4 linked regions of the Oryzias latipes genome follow. The protein of the gene in region 2 purifies or fractionates together with the protein of the main gene of each other region. This does not show direct contact. Links are inferred from orthologs where the notes say so. Each region holds a gene or a part of one and is shown on either strand. Other genes may lie near its edges.

The links. The genes of interacting proteins can lie anywhere in the genome.
Region 1: the proteins of ddx20 (region 2) and gemin5 purify together in Homo sapiens (affinity purification with western blotting; 6 studies listed by BioGRID and IntAct, counting the BioPlex papers as one, with this or other methods). This does not show direct contact. The link is inferred for Oryzias latipes from reciprocal best matches to the Homo sapiens genes DDX20 and GEMIN5.
Region 3: the proteins of ddx20 (region 2) and gemin2 purify together in Homo sapiens (affinity purification with mass spectrometry; 6 studies listed by BioGRID and IntAct, counting the BioPlex papers as one, with this or other methods). This does not show direct contact. The link is inferred for Oryzias latipes from reciprocal best matches to the Homo sapiens genes DDX20 and GEMIN2.
Region 4: the proteins of ddx20 (region 2) and gemin4 purify together in Homo sapiens (co-immunoprecipitation; 7 studies listed by BioGRID and IntAct, counting the BioPlex papers as one, with this or other methods). This does not show direct contact. The link is inferred for Oryzias latipes from reciprocal best matches to the Homo sapiens genes DDX20 and GEMIN4.

What each region holds. Positions count from the first base shown.
Region 1 is NC_019872.2:29,402,339-29,406,751, reverse strand, and holds the start of gemin5 (gem-associated protein 5), read left to right. Parts: upstream 1-1,163; 5' UTR 1,164-1,167; coding exon 1,168-1,181; intron 1,182-1,321; exon of another isoform or gene 1,322-1,435; coding exon 1,436-1,590; intron 1,591-2,041; coding exon 2,042-2,196; intron 2,197-2,309; coding exon 2,310-2,491; intron 2,492-2,653; coding exon 2,654-2,805; intron 2,806-2,880; coding exon 2,881-2,976; intron 2,977-3,982; coding exon 3,983-4,115; intron 4,116-4,180; coding exon 4,181-4,346; intron 4,347-4,413. Other genes in the region: mrpl22 (39S ribosomal protein L22, mitochondrial), read right to left, coding at 204-269, 346-475, 932-974, 1,081-1,105. UniProt on the Homo sapiens protein: The SMN complex catalyzes the assembly of small nuclear ribonucleoproteins (snRNPs), the building blocks of the spliceosome, and thereby plays an important role in the splicing of cellular pre-mRNAs.
Region 2 is NC_019865.2:14,534,818-14,539,687, reverse strand, and holds the start of ddx20 (probable ATP-dependent RNA helicase DDX20), read left to right. Parts: upstream 1-1,653; 5' UTR 1,654-1,706; coding exon 1,707-1,902; intron 1,903-1,987; coding exon 1,988-2,082; intron 2,083-2,400; coding exon 2,401-2,569; intron 2,570-2,657; coding exon 2,658-2,772; intron 2,773-2,887; coding exon 2,888-3,030; intron 3,031-3,311; coding exon 3,312-3,450; intron 3,451-3,571; coding exon 3,572-3,630; intron 3,631-3,857; coding exon 3,858-3,940; intron 3,941-4,141; coding exon 4,142-4,247; intron 4,248-4,664; coding exon 4,665-4,766; intron 4,767-4,837; coding exon 4,838-4,870.
Region 3 is NC_019880.2:19,642,985-19,647,463, forward strand, and holds the start of gemin2 (gem-associated protein 2), read right to left. Parts: upstream 3,251-4,479; 5' UTR 3,119-3,250; coding exon 2,997-3,118; intron 2,093-2,996; exon of another isoform or gene 2,078-2,092; coding exon 1,993-2,077; intron 1,864-1,992; coding exon 1,774-1,863; intron 1,690-1,773; coding exon 1,630-1,689; intron 1,549-1,629; coding exon 1,432-1,548; intron 336-1,431; coding exon 291-335; intron 1-290. Other genes in the region: transport and Golgi organization protein 1 homolog, read left to right, coding at 3,673-3,793, 3,936-4,069. UniProt on the Homo sapiens protein: The SMN complex catalyzes the assembly of small nuclear ribonucleoproteins (snRNPs), the building blocks of the spliceosome, and thereby plays an important role in the splicing of cellular pre-mRNAs.
Region 4 is NC_019871.2:19,887,017-19,891,628, forward strand, and holds the start of gemin4 (gem-associated protein 4), read left to right. Parts: upstream 1-1,362; 5' UTR 1,363-1,433; coding exon 1,434-1,521; exon of another isoform or gene 1,522-1,573; coding exon of another isoform or gene 1,574-1,583; intron 1,584-2,295; coding exon 2,296-4,275; intron 4,276-4,516; coding exon 4,517-4,612. Other genes in the region: tapasin-related protein, read right to left, coding at 1-326, 409-684, 755-931, 1,038-1,083. UniProt on the Homo sapiens protein: The SMN complex catalyzes the assembly of small nuclear ribonucleoproteins (snRNPs), the building blocks of the spliceosome, and thereby plays an important role in the splicing of cellular pre-mRNAs.

The DNA.
Region 1 (4,413 bases), on a different chromosome or scaffold from region 2:
AGCCCTAAAGTCCATGTCAGAGTTCCTTAGTGGAACAATAAAGTTTTAATGAATTTAAATGACTCTTTGTGTGCTTTACAACACAAAGAATCAGACTTGACAGAGTATTTCATCTGCAGAACTTCGGTGAATATCAATGTAGAGGTTTAACCACTGAGTTTCATTTACAGTCATGGTTCTCAGATCCAGCTCAGACTTCTCACCATTTTAGCCAGGTACCACATCTTGTCTTTGCTGTATTTGATCTGCCTCCTGCAGTGGTGGATCTCCTGCAGGAAGAGGAAAGCCAGCTTGATGGAAAAGCAGCAGCGGAAACGTTCTCAGGCGGTCAGCGGACGGACTCACGGCTGGTCTGCGGGGCTCCTCTGGCTGCTGGGGTGGAAACACCTTCAGGTTCTTCCTCTCCCAGCTCTTTGAGCTCAGCGAAGAGCCGGTGTGGAGCCACGAGAGCCGCTGGGGTGGAGCGGCCAACCTGCTGAGGAAGAGAGCAGCGATGAAAATCATTGCAATCGCTGTGTGCTCACTTTTACATGTTTAACTCTTAAAACTGCCAGTCTTTCAGCCATTTTTACACGTTTTATGTGAATTTTATTCACCTTTTCAAAATTATTATGAAATTATTTTATGTTTATTTAGTAGTTGCTTTAAAAATATTACAATATTTCCTCTGTAATGTTTTCATCAGTTATTTTGCAGCTTTTGCTCAAATATAATAAAAGCAGAAAATAATTCCCATTTTAAACCATATAACCTCGTTTTCTTAGTATGTCCAGGTTGTTTGTCTAATTTAATGTCACTAAGCACGTTTATGTCAGTAGTAAACGTAATCAATCGTTTCTGATCCATTCTAAAATATTCTTTGAATTTAGTTTTTACCTTCAAAAAAAGAGAAAAAAAAACCAAAACGTTTGTTGAAACCGTTTGTTCTCACCTTGAACGAAATAGTCCGGAAAGGCTTCTGACGAAGGAGAAACCTGAACCAAGAGTTAGATAAAGTCAAAGCAGAGACAGACTCAAACAAACCACTTTTAAATGTAAGCATTTGTAGATTTAAATGAAGTTTTTCTTTTCATTTCTCACCAGATCCAGCCCCTGCGGCCGCCATGATGGATTTCTGATCAGCCGCATTCTTCGCCTGACTGTCGTAAATACTTCCGGGGGAAAGAAATGAAGATTATCCGGTCATTTGAGATCTTAAATACTTTAAAAAACGTTTTTACTTTATTTTTTATGATTATATAAAAATATAAATGAAAACGCAATAAGGAAAAATAAAAGAGCAAAGTCTGATATATTTGACCCAGTTAGGGTGCCGTAATCTATGCACGAGATTTACGACAGCAGACACCTCGTGCGGCAGTTTGTGTTGTTACGTTGAGGACACGTGAGGAGCTTGATTTTAAACTTCAGGAGCAGAAATCACCTTTTTTTAAAGTTTGCAGGGCGCCATGGCCGACAGGTCTCTGCCCGCCTCGCCGAACTGGTACTGCTCGCGCTGCAGTGACGTCAGCAGCAGTGGCTTACTGGGTGTCGGTGCCAGAAATGTGGTTTATTTGATTGACGTGAGCGCCTCCGCGTGCCGAGTCACAGGTGAGTGGGATCTCTGCCCTGAAACAGACGAACAGGAAACTGTGGAGTCTGTTCCCGCAGCCACAATCTCCCCCTAACCCTGCCTTCATCCTCCTCATCCTCCTCTTTCCTGGTAGCTTCCCTGTTCCTCCTCTAACCTGTCCAAACATCTCCATCTGCTTTCCTGCATGGGTCTCCAGAACATCTACCTGTCTGTTCCTCTGATGGACTCATTCCTGATCCATCCTGGTCCCAAAGAGAAGCTCAGCATCTTCATCTCTGCTTCCTGTCTCTAAGCCGTCAACATTGGTGCTCTCTCCACCATCTTTCATAATTCATGACACTCTTTGGTCACACCGGACCCTTCCTCCCCCCGTTCCAACCTGCTCCCCCTCTGCCCTTCATGGGGCAGTCGTGTTTTCTTTGAGCTCCGCTCCCACGGCTGACCCGGCTGTTGCTGTGGGTTCTGCAGGACAGCTGGTGGGCCACGCGGACCTGGTGTCGGGCTTTTCTTTCTGTCAGCACGCGGGTCAGAACCATGTCTGCGCCAGCTCCTCCACCGACGGCAGCGTCCGCTTCTGGGACTCAAACAGCAGGACGTTGGTCAGGGAGCAGGTGGCTCATCAGGTGAGGTTTCAGGTCACGTTGGCCCCTCCCACAGGCTCCACTGTTTTAGTCGGAGCTGTCGGAGGGAAGTGGATGTTCTGGTGGTCCTCACGGAGATGCGGTTTTCCACACAGACCCCCGTCTCGGCTCTGCACTGGTCTCCTGTGGACAAAGACCTGGTGGTGTCGGGGGACGAGAAAGGGGTGGTGGTGTGCCACTGGTTCCACACCGGAGACACCGCCAGCTTCTTCCCTGAGCCCAGGACCATCGTCTGCCTCACCTGCTCGCCTCACACCTGGAGCTCTGTGGCTATTGGGTACTGGGAAATCACCATGGTTACCGTCTAGACTCAGAGCAGCTATCCATGTTTTAGAGTTTCCAAGCTTTGTTTTGAAAATCCTTCAGAGAAGTGAATCAGAGGAGAAAGACTGGAGGTCAGGACGTTGTGTGTGATTTTTTTATTTTTTCTTGGCTGCAGGTACAAAGACGGGATGATCGTGCTGGTGGATGTCAGTAAGAAAGGGGAGGTGATGCACCGTCTCCGTGGACACGACAATGAGATCCACTCGCTGGCGTGGTCGCCTGTGTCGGGGGAGTCGGCGCTGTTCAGCAGAGCTGAGGACGACGAAGGTTCTGCAGAACGGAGCGGGTTTGGGCTGCAGGTCGTTTCAGCAGCGACTCTAAACGGATTCTGTGGTTTTGCAGCAGCAAACGGAGGGTCTGCAGGAGAACACGGATGCTACCTCGCTTCTGGGAGCAAAGACCAGACGGTGAGGGTGTGGAGCACCTCCAGGGGCAAAGGTGAGGGGAGAAGATCGGAACATTTTCTCATCGGGAGCTGCAGCAGCTCCTCTGTTCTATGGAGTGATATCTATGCCACCACGTTGCAGACAAAACCTTCTAAGTCGCAAATGAAAATATTAAATATTTGCTTTCAAATAGTTTTTTCTTAACTTGTCCTGTCCAACAGCTGGGCAGGCAGATGAGAGCTGAGGGCCTCTTGTGTTGGACATATTTTACTTTAACAAGAGGGGTTATGAATCTTCAGACAAACCAGAGGTATGACTGAATAAACCCCTTTTGGAATCCAGGCCAAACTTTATTAATTTTTTTGTGTTGGACCGGACGGAAAAGGAAAGGAGGGAAGAAGAGAGAGGGATATTAGAGAGAGTGGCATAGGAGGGTGATTATAAAAAATGGGGGGTAAAACCATGAAGCAGCATAAAGCAACAAGTTTCTGGATGTTTATCATTACGGTAAGTTACAGATAGAATACAAATCTCAAAAGGGCGGGGCCTGTCCACACACTCAAATGTTATCAACACGCTTTCTAGCTGCAAAAATGTCCACATGTCAACATGTACACAAAACAGATAGTGTTCACACACGCATACTTATGCCTCAAACCAACTAGTGTGAAATATTTTATTCAATCATGCAAACTATTAGTGCAAAGGTGAGCTAACACCTGTGTTCAGGTGAGTGTTTATGTTCTTCTAAAATGGATGGTGGAATGTGAAAAGAAGGGAGAGAGAGTGACCAGCCACCCCCATCCCAAGACCCCCGCCGCAGCAGCAGCGGCCCAGAATCCAGATTCTAACCAATCAGGTCAAACATTTGCATGTTTATTTTTGATAAAGCAAAAATATTTTCCTTGACAACTTAGGAAGTTGAGTTCGCAGCGTGGCGGCGTAAATAACACTCCATTCTGGTCATCTTTTTCCTCCTTCCCAAACATCTCTGCCCGTGGAGTTTTCGTATCGAGTAAAAAGCTGTTAAAGGTGAGAACGCTGCTCTCCTCCTGCAGGAGTGATGACCTTAAAGCTGCCGTTTCTGAAGAGAAGAGCCTCCGCCGTCGACCCCGGGGTCAAAGAGCGGATCTGGCTCAGCGTCCTCTGGCCCCCGGGACGACCCACCGAGCTGGTGTCCAGCTGCTTCAGGTAGATCCGGCAGCGTCCCGCTCGGAGCTGCGACCGCACCTTCATGTTCCTCTGTGCTCCCCCAGCGGAGAGCTGCTGCTGTGGGACCTGACCAAAGGCGGGAAGCAGCGCTGGACGTTGTTCGGGTCCTCCTCAGAGGGTCAGAACCACAGCCGGATCGTCTTCAACACCAGCTCGCTGCGTCTGCAGGACGGAGGGGAGCTGCTCTTCAGCACCTCCATGGACCGGGAGGCGAGTCTTCTCCTGCTAAACACAAAAGATCTGATTTCAGAATCAGATCTTTTGGCTTCAAACTCAG
Region 2 (4,870 bases):
AGTGTCAGATTTAAAATATTCAGTCTGTATAAAATTGAACAAACCAATATTTTTATAAAATAATTATTTTTTCTTTTTCTTTTTTTTAAAAAGTGAAATTCATTTTATTTTAAGATCCATTGGCCTCTGTGAATGAATGTGTAATAAGAATTGATTAGGCTACCATGTTGGTTGAGGCATGTTTTCCAATTGGGCTGCACGGTGGCGCAGTGGTTAGCGCTCTTGCCTCACAGCAAGAATCCCCCTGGTTCAAGTCCCAGCTGGGGGACATGAAAAACAGAACATCAATGGGGGACCTTTCTGTGTGGAGTTTGCATGTTCTCCCCGTGCATGCGTGGGTTCTCTCCGGGGTCTCCGGCTTCCTCCCACCATCCAAAAACATGCTTCATAGGTTAATTGGCAACTCTAAATTGACCCTAGGTGTGAGTGCGGGAGTGAATGGGTGTGTGAGTGAGGACATTCTACCCTGCAACAAACTGGCGACTTGTTCAGGGTGTCCCCCCTGCCTTTGCCCACAAGTGGCCGGGATAGGCTCTGGCAGCCTCAAAATTCATAGAAAATGAATGAATGAATGTTTTCCAATTGGGTAAAAAAACAAGAATAAAGCTGTTATTTTGCCTTCACGCTACTGGTCCGGCCCACTTGAGATCAGACGGGTTGAATGTGGCCCCCGAACCAAAATGAGTTTGACACCCCTGCTTTAATCGATTCAAATTTGTAATTAACAAAATCACCCAGGAAATGTATGGAGATTACATGTATATTTTGAAGGTCTCAAAAGATGGCTAAAACCCTCCAGGTTAGATGTAAATTTGAACTAAAATCTATAAAAATCTATAATCTAAATGTGTGATGTTAAACAAATATAGGTGACACAAATGTAGTGTCAGGAATAATTAAAAAAAAACTTGATAAAGCGTAAGTATGTATTTTTTAGAGTTCAGTAATTTCCTAGCTGTTTAAGAGCATTTTCAATGTTAAAAACAAAATTTCATTACATTTTCATTTTTTATTGAGTTTTTCTCTTTAAAGTGTTTTTTATAATTATGGAAAGTTTCAATACGGATCTGTGCATGTTACCAACCCTGGTCTTGTGTGTATTTTTGTGTGTTCTTGTCTTGTGTGAATGCTGCGTGTAATTTTTCACCTCCTGCTTACGTCCAGCTTCCTTTTTGCTTTTCTTTAACTCTATTATTCAAAACAAATAAAACAAATATGCATGAAAAGAACAATATTCATAACAACAAGAATGCCAGGGGATGTTACATGTATTACAAAATAAATATTACAATGACAGATTACTATGCATTGACAATGTTCAACGACAGACAGTTTTCCAGCTTCCTTTTTGCTGCTGCCTCCTGCAGAGCTGGTTGAGGGGGTTCACATTCCACCAATCACCAGGCAAGGAGGGAGGTTTAAAATCTCCCAGAAACCCCTGCTCCAGAGGCGGCTGAATGACCAGGGAGGCATCTGTTCCTCAGCCAGCCCCTGCTGTCTGTCTAGCTTGCCGCAAGATCAAAACTACATCTGTTGTCATAGTAACAAATTAAATTGCAATTCCACTGCCCATCCCCTTGGTTGCAACTCTGAGTAAGCAATTGCCCTCCACGCCAGTAGGTGGCAGACATTGCAATTTGAGGTCACTGCTACCTGGGGCTTTCAGTTCTGATAAGCAGCGTGGAAAAAAAACAGCGGAAAGAAACATGGCTTCCTCTGTGAGAAAAGCAGGCCATGACATCGAAACGCGAAATCGGACCGAGGACGTGCTCCTGTCGGAGGGCATCGACTTCAGCTCTCTGTTGTTATCGCAGCCCGTTCTGGACGGACTGTCCGCTGCTGGTTTCCAGAAACCTTCGCCGATACAACTCAAGGCGATCCCGCTCGGCCGATGTGGACTCGGTTGGCACTTCACTTGTTTTGTTTTTTGATGACTGTTATCGATCTCATTTTTGAAGTAGGTCTTACTCTAGATGTCTTGTTTCAGATTTAATCGTACAAGCCAAGTCTGGCACAGGAAAGACATGCGTGTTCTGCACCATCGCTCTGGACTCTCTGATCCTGGAGAACTCTGCCACTCAGGTGAGTCAGTGAGTCAGTGTTCCCATGTTGTTTTGCATCATGCATTTATGAACAAAAGCTTTAGTGTCCACAGTAAAATTTTATTATAGAAAGCTCATTGGTTTTGGAAGTTCCAATTAAATTAGGTTAACCATCTGTCTTTCCAAAAGAATTTGGTAATATATTAAAGGGAATATAAAATGTAATGTTTGAATCTAGTCTCAAATTTCCCAATTTTTATAGATCTTACAGTATTTAAGAAATGTCGATTTAAACCAAAAATCTCAACTTTTATAGTCCATCGCATTTTGCCCATAAACAGCTTGGGTTCTCCTGCAGGTTCTTGTTTTGGCTCCCACGCGGGAAATAGCGGTGCAGATCCACTCAGTGGTCATGGCCATCGGCTGTGCCATGGAGGGCCTGGAGTGCCACGTTTTCATCGGGGGCAGGCCTGTGAGCCAAGACAAATCCCACCTGAAGAAGTGTCATATAGCTGTGGGGTCACCTGGTAAGAGCCCACTGGACATCCCATAAACCGCTCACGTAATTTTTTAGTTTGGTATCTGATGACGAGGATGCTCCCGTTGTCCCCTTAGGTCGCATCAAACAGCTGATCGAGCTGGGCATGCTGTCCACTGCCAGCATCCGACTGTTTGTTCTGGATGAAGCTGACAAACTGCTGGAGGAGGGGAGCTTCCAGGAGCAAATCAAGTAACAAGGACACAACTGCTGTTGCATTATAGTTCCTTTCTTGTGTTTTCCCCTTCACATGTTGTGTTCAAATTGAAATAAAAATGAAGCAGGACATTGTTTACTCTTTCTTAAGCTGGATCTTCTCAGCTCTGCCCGTCAACAAACAGATGCTGGCACTTTCTGCCACATACCCAGAATCCCTGGCTCAACACCTTACCCGCTACATGAACGAGCCTACTTTTGTTCGACTCAATCCTAAAGACATGGGGCTGAAAGGTGAGGTCCACTTTAGAAAAAGTTCAATCAGCACACCTTTCATTTCCTGACAAACTTCTTTCCTTTTGTTTTGGTTTTATTTGATTATCCAGCGCTAAAAAACTACAGTTGTAGATCTTTTTAAAGCACTGATGTCGTCTTTTTAAAAAATAAAAAAGCTTTTGAGTTGATTTAACAAAATATATTTTCATTGAAACGCTTTTCAGGATTGAGCGTTCTTTGGTGTCAAACCTGATCCCTGACCTGTATCTCACATATGCTGTTTTTTGTTCCCCTGGCAGGTCTGAAGCAGTTTTACAAGCTGGTGCCTTCCCATCCTCTTCCTCACAAGATTTTTGAGGAGAAAGTGCAGCATTTACTGGAACTGTTCAGTAAAATTCCATTCAACCAAGCTTTAGTGTTTTCCAACCTGCACACACGGTAGGTGCGCTCTCCGTGTTAACCTTCGCTCCGCAGCTGCTGCTGTCGATTAATTGTTTCACCAAGCGCGGAGAGAATGGATTTCTTGCTGAAATGGGCTGGGGGTTTTTTTTTGCGGCAGGGCGCAGCACCTGGCAGACATCGTGTCCTCCAAAGGCTTACCTGCTGTCTGCATATCAGGTGAGGCAGCAACTGTAAAATCATTGTAATGAGCAGCAATAGAATCAGTTTTAAGAAATAAGTTACATGTACATGTTTTCATTTGCTAATTTGAATATTTTTAACAACCATAATTTAGGTGGGACCATGACAGTTTTTGAAGCTTTGTGGTTTTTTTAATTTTTTTTTTTTATGGCAAAGGTAAAGTTTCATGTGCGGTTATAGGTGGTGCGTGTTAATCTGCACAGGTGGACTCAGTCAGGATCAGAGACTGGAAGCCATGTCAAAACTGAAGCAATACCAGTGCAGAGTGCTCATCTCCACTGACCTGGTGAGAGAACGGCTTTGCTGTTATTACTTTTACTTTTTTTATTTTTATTTTTATTTTGTTTTTACAAGGAGGGATTCTGACCTTTTTATATTTCATCAACCACAGCCTTATTTAAACAAGAACGAAAGCAGAAATGTAAAATATCTGGTTTCCTGTCCTTAATAATGTTGGTGCTGCTTCCTGTTTGCTTCCCTTTGACAGACGTCCAGAGGAATCGATGCTGAGAAAGTAAACCTGGTTATAAACCTGGACGTGCCGCAGGATTGGGAAACTTACATGCACAGGATCGGACGGGCTGGGCGCTTTGGTACGCCTCCAACAACATGGAGCAATCTTTGTGAATCATTGAGGAAGTCTGGATGGATTATTAGTGGAGGAGTGTTGCGTCTTTGTTGCAGAATCCTTCATCTGTTCAGGTTTTCAGGAACCAGCAGCTTTTTGCTGCAGATGTTTCCTCATCAGCTTAACTCTCACTCAAATACCTTCAGGTCAAAATGTCCATCTGAATTTTTTAGAATTCTGTGCTTTTTTTTTTGCATTCATTTATATTCAGATTTGAAGGGAACGTATTGGAACTCTGAAGTTTTTAGTGTAACCAAATCGATCTAATTTGTTGATTGGTGTGAAAGGGGTGTATCAATGTATCATCACGACTTTTACTCCATTTCAATTTAGTTCTACAGAAAGGAGAGCTTTCTTTGTGATTTCTCTGTTTGGTTACTAGGCACTCATGGGCTGGCTGTGACCTACTGTTGCCATGGTGAAGAAGAAAACAAGATGATGGCCATCGCTCAGAAATGTGGTCTTAGTTTGCATGCTCTGCCATGTGAGTCCTGCTGACATTTTTGACTTTTTGACATGAAAATGCCTTGCCGTCTAATGACACTGTTGTTTTAGTGGTGTTGGAGCCTGGGCTGATGGATGAGTCCT
Region 3 (4,479 bases), on a different chromosome or scaffold from region 2:
ATGTAAATAGCTCAAAACTGAATTCACATAAAGACCAAAATTTCATATGAAGAAAATGCAAATGTAAGTAGTGGCTATGTGACATACAAGGCCATCATCAGAAAATACCACAAGAACATGTTAAAAACCCAATTTTCATCTGAGTGGGTCTTTACTTCACATTTCACATCCACAAATTGAGATTTTGCCAAATCCCTGCTCCTTTATGTTCTACATTTTTATAAAGCTTATTTACTCAAAAGAAGATTGAAATTACTTTTTTATCATCTGTTCAGTTAAAAAACAATTACCTGGTTTAGTCTGCATACGATGGTTAAGAATGGAGGAAACCCAACCTGAAAAAAAATGAAAACAAACACATCAGTAAAATCTAGTTTTCACGTTGTCCCTCAATGTAACATGCCTATTAAAGTGCCTTATTTCTGGGGCTGGAGGGGGGCAGTGGAGGCTTCGTTAGTTAGGGGGACCTGGTTGGGCGCCTGGAAGTGGGCAGGTGGGGGTACTGCATGGTCTTGGGAGAGTTTGGTCGGTGCGGTTGAGGGGGTCTGGCTTGGCTTGGGGAGTGGTCTTTTCAGGGGGGGTTAGGACAGGAGGAGGAGGTGCAGGCCCAGGTGCAGGAGACCCTGGGCCTGCACCTCTGCACTCTTCTGGTCCTGGGACGGGGTGGGGCAACCCTCTTGGGGTTTGCAGTTGCTCTGGGTGACACCTGCCATGGCTGCAGGATCTGGGGGGGGGGGGGGGGGGGGGGGGGGGGGGGGGGGCTGGTAGACTGGTTGGCTCTGTCCTCTGGGAAGGGGGTCCTCCATCAGGATGGGACTACAGAGGGTTGGGGTCAGCAATGAGACAATCATGGAGAGCCCTGGCTGGTCAAACTGCCTCGGTCAAGTTGGTGTGCTTTCTTGGCTCCTCTCTCTTTATGTATGCATAAGTATTTTTGTGTGAGCTGTAGTTGTATCGTGTATGTGTTGACATATGGAATGTGAAGATTTCACACAGGTATGTTTGTAACATACCTGTTAGCTCCTTTTGACTAATGCCTTAATCTGACAGTAATAATGATAAACCTCCAGCAACTTTTTGCTTTATGATTCTGAATCTACCCCCACTCTACTTCTTTGATCATGCTCCAACTTCCTTTAACCCCCCCCCCCTTTTCCCTTTTCAAAACAGGTATACAAACATAATCAATATAAATAAAGTTTACCCTCAAATACAGAAGAGTTTAAATAAATATACCCCTTGTGTGTCAGAAGATTCATGACCCCCTATTGTAACAGTAAAATCTCTCAAACACAAGAGGCCTTCAGCTCTGATCTGTTTGCTCAGCTGTTGGACAGAACAAGTTAACAAAAAAGAAAAAAAGTCTTATTTGAAACTTTTTGTTTCAAAACTTTGGCGTTTAAAAATTCTAACAACAGTTTAGTTGACAACCTTGCTATAGTCCAGTTCTGCCTCTGGTTTTGCATCTGTGGGGCAGGCTGATGCGCCCAAGTAGATCCTCTCTCCTAAACAAAACTTCTTCCAGCCCTCCTCATCTGTAAGGTTTGGCTGTAAAAGATCACACTTAAATATTATGCAAATGAGCACCTTTGACCTTTGCTAACATTGCAGCGGGATTTGACATCTTACCATGCGTACATTATTATCCAGAGTCTGGCTGCTCCAATGTTTTCTATTCTTGGTGATGCTCTAGTAAATTAAAAAATTAGACATTATAAGCAGAAATATAAGTGAGATATAAAAGCAACACACTGTTCTTTTAGTTTTTCTTACCCGTCTCACGTCAGAAAAATTACTGACTTGTTGTTGTTGCCAGTGAAGGCTGGGGGAGAAACCTACTGGGGGAGCGTGGCACCCAGCTACCTGAGACAGAAAATATGGTTTTCCAGATTATCATGTCTCTTGGCTGCAGAGTCAACTATACATGACCTCACCACACAGACAAAGCCTTAACAAATAAAGATTTGACCAAATAAATAGATTTTCACTTACAGATACATGGACTGTTTGCTTCTTCTTTAGTTTCTTAGGGTCAATTTGAGCAACCACCACCTCTGGACACATGGACGCTTCCAACCTACATCACAAGGAGGTGAGGGGTCACTGGGAAACACAGCTAATATCTTCTCTTCAATTTCTAAAACGAGTCATTCACAGATGTTGAAATCAATAATCTTTTTATTAGAAGAAGTTGAATTTCTTGCTGCTAAATCTTTTTGGTATTCAACCATGGGTGATTTAAATTGGGAAAAGACTAATACTTCTGTTCATAAATACTGTATTAATATTAAAATAAAATAGGTTTTATTTTGCTTTCTACCCAGTTAAAGATACACTAAGAAGATTTAAAATAAACAGAACAATTTTGTTTTTTGCCAATCAAGTAAGGAGACAATTTTCATTTATTTATTCTTTCTATGTACACCAAGCAATTTTGGTCGGATCTGCGTGAATTTATAACCACAAAATTTAATATAACTCTCTGAATTCTTTTTTTAATGTCATATTATATTTTTAATTACATGGTTTGCCCAAAAAGGTAAGTTTTGTTACTGAACTGTTCATTATTTTTGGGACATTCCTCATTCATACATATAAGCAGTCCATATTGAAGGCGACAAGAACATTTGATATTTTAAAGAAACGGCATATTATATTTTATTTACTTATATTCTATGTTCAAAAATAATTGGACTGGACTGATTATTAAAGTACAGGTGGCACGTGTTGTGCAACCTGTGTAGTGTTTTCTTTTACCTATATTATTCTATTCAGTTAATACAATAAGTATTGATAATAAAGTTTGTTGAAAAGAAACAACAGAAACACTTAAATATACTAAGTGGAGAGCTAATTCCACGGTTCGATACATAGACTGTAAATAGGAACTTTGGTTTTATACAATTTTTTTTATACCAATGCTTTGCTATTCTAAAGCATTTTAATTATGAAAACACTGGCTTTCCACTTTAATGAGAACAGAAGGGAGAACTTACTGGACCTGTCGCAAGTACTCCTGGGGGTTCCTCGGTGGACCGCTGAGGTCTACGTGCTCGGTGTCTTGTCCTAACTCCACCGGAAGCAGCCTTGGCATTAACTCCTCAACATCCGACTTCATTTTCCGCTAATAATGTAAAACTCTTAAGCGAAATCAGGACATTAAAACGAAGACTAGGCAGATGCTAGTATTTACTGTTGTCCAACAAGCGCCATTTTGTTTTTCAAACTAGATTTGATGACGCCAATTTTGTGCGCGAGGCGAGATTTGTTTCCATAGTGACGTGACAGCGCCTGAAACTTTGGCAGCGACAAGGAACGAAGTCCACGAGCATTTTATGTTGCGCATTTAAACACGTTTATTATACCTCAATTCAACCGCAGAAGCTGTTTAATAAATAAAAAAATTTCAAATCAAGTTGGTGAATGAAAAAAATAAACTTTTGACATTAGAGCTAAATTGTTTTGTTCTGCAATCAGGTTACGAGCAACGTTGTTAATTATTAGCTTCATGCTAGCGTTATATCTTATCTCCATTCTTTCGTTTACCACTAGTGAGGTTTCATGAGAGAAACAGCACAGAGTCAATGTCCACTTTCCTGAACAGCAGGTCAAAGGGATTTCTTCTCAAATATGGGACTTTTTCTATGATACACTCCAGCTAAAGCACCCAAAATGGATGTTTCCCTGCTACATAAATTCTGTTGGATTGTGGGTCTAACGTTTGTGATTTTGCCTCTTATAAATCCAGGAATGTTATCCGACTACAAGATCTGTGGAGATTCTGAGTGTGAAAGTAAGTCCAAACACTTGTGTCAAAATAGTTTGAAGTTCCTAAAAAATACTGTTATATTTTATGCATGAATTTAGCTTAGTTGGTTTATTAAAGACATTTTAATCATTTTAATGCAACTGATCACTTGTGTTTGTGTGTGTAGGCCTAATGAGCAGGGTTCAGGCCATAAGGGACCACAAGAGTAACGACTGCCGTTTTCTAAGCTTCAGACGTGGAGATATCATTTTTGTCTACCACAAACTTACAGGAAAGAGGGAGGATCTGTGGGCAGGCAGTGTATGTCCAATTTTCATCTCTTTTATATCTCTGTCGCCTCCTTATCATGAAACCTTAATGTAAATTGTCCCTTATCCAAGGTCTTTGGTTGAACAAAACAATATTCCTTATTATACAAAAAGCCTTAGTGTTTATTTGGGATGCTGACATCTTTGACTTTCATTTAACCGTTGGATGGAAGAGTTTTATTTTGAATGTTTAAATATAGTCATGTTTAAACTAATTTGAAAATTCTGTTAGAATTTAATATTTTGATGCCTGTTCTTGTACTCACGCAATGACAATAATATTGAATCTAATCTAATTTTTGTGTTTTTGACCTGTTAAATATGAATTAGATTTTGATTTCTTTAGTTTCAGAGCATCTTATCAAAAGCTTGTTGCTTTTCAGCATTTAAGTTTCACATATC
Region 4 (4,612 bases), on a different chromosome or scaffold from region 2:
GACGTGCAGGTTGAGCTCCATGTTGGCGAAAAGCGGGTTCACAGTCAAAGAACAAATGTAGCTTCCTTCGCTGCTCATCTTGGTGAAGGGGAGAGTGTAGGAGGCATCTCCCCCAGCCAGGGCCTTCTTCCCAACTCCAGAGCCATGAATCTCCCCGGAGCGGCTGTTGTAGCGGAAGAGCATCCTTCTCTCTCCGCGGGACTGCCAGTGCCACTCCACGGTGACGTTTGGGCCTCGGTGGTCGATGCTGAACTGACAGTGGAGTTTGGGCTGCGAGCGTAGTCTGACTTTCACAGATGGAGTCTCTGTTTTCAGCAACATGGCGACTATGGACACAAATAGGATGAACCCTCTTACAGGCCTTCGTTCTGACATGCAGAAGCAGCGTCAGATGAAGGGGACACCTACCTGTGGTGGTAAGAACCTCTCGGTCGGCGATGGGCGGCCAGCTGCGGTAGTCCTGCTGTCCTGGAGGAGGTTGGTCAGACGGATGTCTGAGGAAAGCAGTGACGCTGAACTTGTCCTTTCTGTGTCTGAGGATGCAGGTGTACCAGCGGTTGTACCCCTCTGCCCCCAGGGCGGGCCAGCGGACATGGATGCCCTCTGTGCTGTACCGTCGGACCTCACACTCCAACTCCTCTACCTCCACCCCTTCAATGGACCGCTGCAGGTCCAGTTTTGAAACTAAAGCAACATAAAAAGTCATGAATGTAATTCTTTCCTGCCCCGATTCGTGTCTTGGACAGAAGCTCACCAGTGATCAGGAAGGTGATGGCGTGGGGATTGACAGGAGCGTCTCCTTTTAGACCAAACTGAACCATAGCCTCTCTGGGAATGAGCTGTGTCTCAATGTGTCCTTCACTGTTGTTGGACACATGTTCGTCAGTGAACTGACATGACAGCCATGGTATCTGCTGAACGCTCCTCACAACTGAGAACACAGAAAAACTAACATTAAACACACCCTTCATTTAAATTTAGTTCCTTTCATGAACTAACTGATAGAACAGCTGCAAACATACTTTAAAATAACTTACCTCCAATCACATAAAAGTAAATAACAACTTTCTGAAATACTCCCATTTTGATTATTCAATTGAATTTCTTGGTTCACCTTGTTTCTACCAGCAGCCAGGATCTAAAAAGTACTTTCATTTTCACTTCTGCAGAAAAAAAACGATTTGCCTTTAGCTCGCGTCACATGACCTACAAGATTAAAACCATAACAAAAAAAAAACATTTTTATATATATTCATAAACACAATAACAAATGAAATGACGTTTAAATCTGATGTAAAATATTTAAATCTCGCTCCGAAGAAAAACGTTAAAACTGCAGTACCGAATTTATCCGGGTGCGTCGCTGTGAACAAACATCCGGTATATGCGTCGCATGGCGGAAGCGTGTTTGCGGCTGCGCAGTTCTGCTGTGGATGTTTTTAGTTGGATTATGTTGTTTCAGAAATCTAACTTTAAACTTCGGAAACCGTGAACGTAACGGCGCGTTTAGAGAGTTTCCAGGTAAACGGATTACACTGGTATTTACCTGCACGCAACAATTATCACGGTGATAATGGACAAAGGTAAAATAGCTTTTATTTTTACTCTCTCTGTAGACCAGTTAAGTCACTGACTTTAAGTTAAAATAAATTCTTACAAAAGAAAATATTATTTAATAAAGAAAAGCAATGTTTTTTAATTTAAATTGTTTTTCCAACACACGACGCATTCATACCGATTTACACACGCGGTGAACCGCTTTGAATTGTGGGAAACTGAGTTTGGTGTGGTAAAATGAATGACATATGGATCCCCTGAAGGGATTTGGCAAAAGGTGAATAACAACAAGATCTACACTGATCCTGACATAAAGACGAACGCACACAAACACTCACACATTAAACACAATAAAAACTATATGGCTCTGTCCATGAAAACTGAGTTATTTATTGGAGATCATATCTGAAAGTTGAGAAGAAGCTTTGGTGTTTTTATCTGTGGATACGGTGGCCCTGAAGTTCAAATCACATCCACAAATTACTGTTTTAAAACATCACACAGCAGTCCTGGAATGCAAAAACAAAATTGTTTTTGCAATTCTTGTTTCTTACTGCATATTTGAATGAAAACTTGACACCCCACCCCACCCCCCGCTTTAATTTTGTTTAGATTTATCAAATGTAACGTTTTCTTGTTATTTTATTGCTTTTGTTGTTGTTATCTTTAAGATGTCTTTACATTGATATGATGATGTGATTGGCACTTCAGGGCTCTGATTATGTCATGTGATTTCAGGCTCTGCGGTTCTGCAGGGGGCTTTCCTGCTGGCAGACAAACTGTGTCGCCCCTCATTTCTATCCTGCGTGAACAAATCCGACTGGATCGCGGCGGGACGCCCGATCCTACAGGCTCTGCAGGAAGTCTGTGAACTGGAGGAAGCTGACGGTCATCACAGCTCGACCTGGACGAAGAAGGTGGTCTGTGCTGTGTGGCTGAAGCTCTTGAGCGCTGAGGAGGATGTTGAGAGAGCGTGGAGGGAGAACCCCTTTTTTTCCTTCCAGCAGAGCCTCCCTGAAGTTAACCATGTTGTCCTGTTGGAGTTGGTGAAGAACGCTGCTGCTTCACATGTTTACGCAGGTTTTCTCCTTCATCTTCCTGAAGATTTGATCTGCTTGGAGCTGAAGAGGCTGGTAGAGCATGTGAAGAGCGAGCCTACAAGCGAAGAGGATGTTCATTTCTTTCTAGAGATGTGGCGGGAGCTGTGGAAAGGCCAAGAGCAAGCCAAGCTCAGAAACGACGAGAGCATGGAGATGATGTTTGCCAAGCAGGTTGCTCGTCTCACCTCCATGTCTTCTAGTTTGTCTCCTCAGGCTGCCAAGAGGTTAAAGCTGGAGACACAAGACTCAGCAGAGGCTGATGTTTTCCACATTCTCCTCAATGCCCTCAAAGACATGGCAGATCACGTCTCCTCATTAGACCTGTGCTTCCAGTCTCTCTCCATGTCCCTTGATGCTCTTTTTACATCATTTCTGATAGACCGAGAAGTTGTTCTATCAGCTCAGGAGAAGATGGACATCCTGTGTAAAGCCATCAGTACTAAAGGAAAGAATGAAAAACTTCAACCTGAACTTGTTGAAGAAGCTCAGAGACATTTACGGGCTTCGATTTCCCCGTCTCAGTTCAAAGTCAGGAGGATGGATCTGGGTGAAGCTCTGAGGGTCATAGCAGAACTTAGTCAGTCTTGGAAAGACCGAGGACTCTTGGACGTCCAGGACGGCTCTCGCTCCTCCTACTCTGCTTTCCAGCTGGAGCAAAGTGTCCAGAGAGTCTCCACTGCTCTGGAAGAAGCTCCCACAGCAGCGACAGAGAAGAACCTGCTCGTGGCTGTGCTGAAGTCTCTGGTTCTTCCTGTCACAGAGAGCAGCCCTGAGGTGCATGCTCAGGTGCTCTCCACCATCATCACTCACCGCCTGGAAGACCACGAGAGCTTCGCTGCCTTGTTTGCCAGAGAGCCGCCCTGGACGCACTGTGATGAAGGCTGGATGGATTGCCTGGAGAGGAGCCAAGCTTCCTTCCGTCAGCATGACGCCGTGATCGGCCTCTCCTCTACTCTAATGAACAAACTACGCATGGAGAATGCAGACGTCAGCCAGTGCAGAAAGCTGATGAAAATCATAGCAGATATCTTCTCCAGCCTTTCCTTAGAAGACATGAACAAAGCCTTGGTGTCCATGTTAAGATTGTCTAGGAAGGGCTTCTTCGAATTCCCCGTTCCTCCTGAGGTGGCTGGAGGGTTTGAGCAGGAGCTCAACATGGCCTTCAACTGCATCATCCAAGCAGGAAGTGGAGCGTCCTCAGCTGTTCCTCAAGGGAACCTGACCACGGCCGTCTCACTCGTAGCCAGAGTGGCTTTTCAGAACCCAGAAGGCGCCTTACGGTCCTGCTGCCACTCAGCTGTTTTCAATAAAGGAGCATTTTCGATGATGGCAAAGATCCTGCAGCATCTGCCTGGACTCAGCGGTCAGAGAGGAGGAGATGGAGATGGAAGGAGGAGCGGAGAGGAGAACACGGCTAAAGACGGGACCTCTAGTCTGCTCTGCAGGTGCCTACACCAGACGGTCAAGGACAAGTCCCTGTCAGCCAACGAGAAGGAACAGTTTGCCAAATTCCTCGGTCTGCTGATGGGTCCAAACGTGGACGAGGGAAAGGAACAAAGCTTCCTGTCACCTCAGGAGGTTATAAACACCTTCGTCCTCCCTAACCTTTCATCTGTAGGTGAGGATCCTTTACAATGTTCCTGACATTTGAAGAAGACTCTTAAGAATCTTTTATTCTGAAATTTGGTGTCAGAATCATCAGTTTGAACTGTTAGAAGTGGTGCAACGTTCATGAGCTCCTCATCTGTTATAGCCTCTAATGACTAAGTCGTTTTATTTTTGTACACTTTGATTTATCAGAATTCAACATTTTACATAATACGTCACATGTTCTTCATCCGTTCTCCACATCTGCTCAGGTTCCTCCTCTGTGGATGCAGAGTTGAGTCTGCAGCTTCTTCACACAGCTTTGTCCTTGGATGTGCAGCCAGGAGCCTCCAGCTCTCACTGGCTGA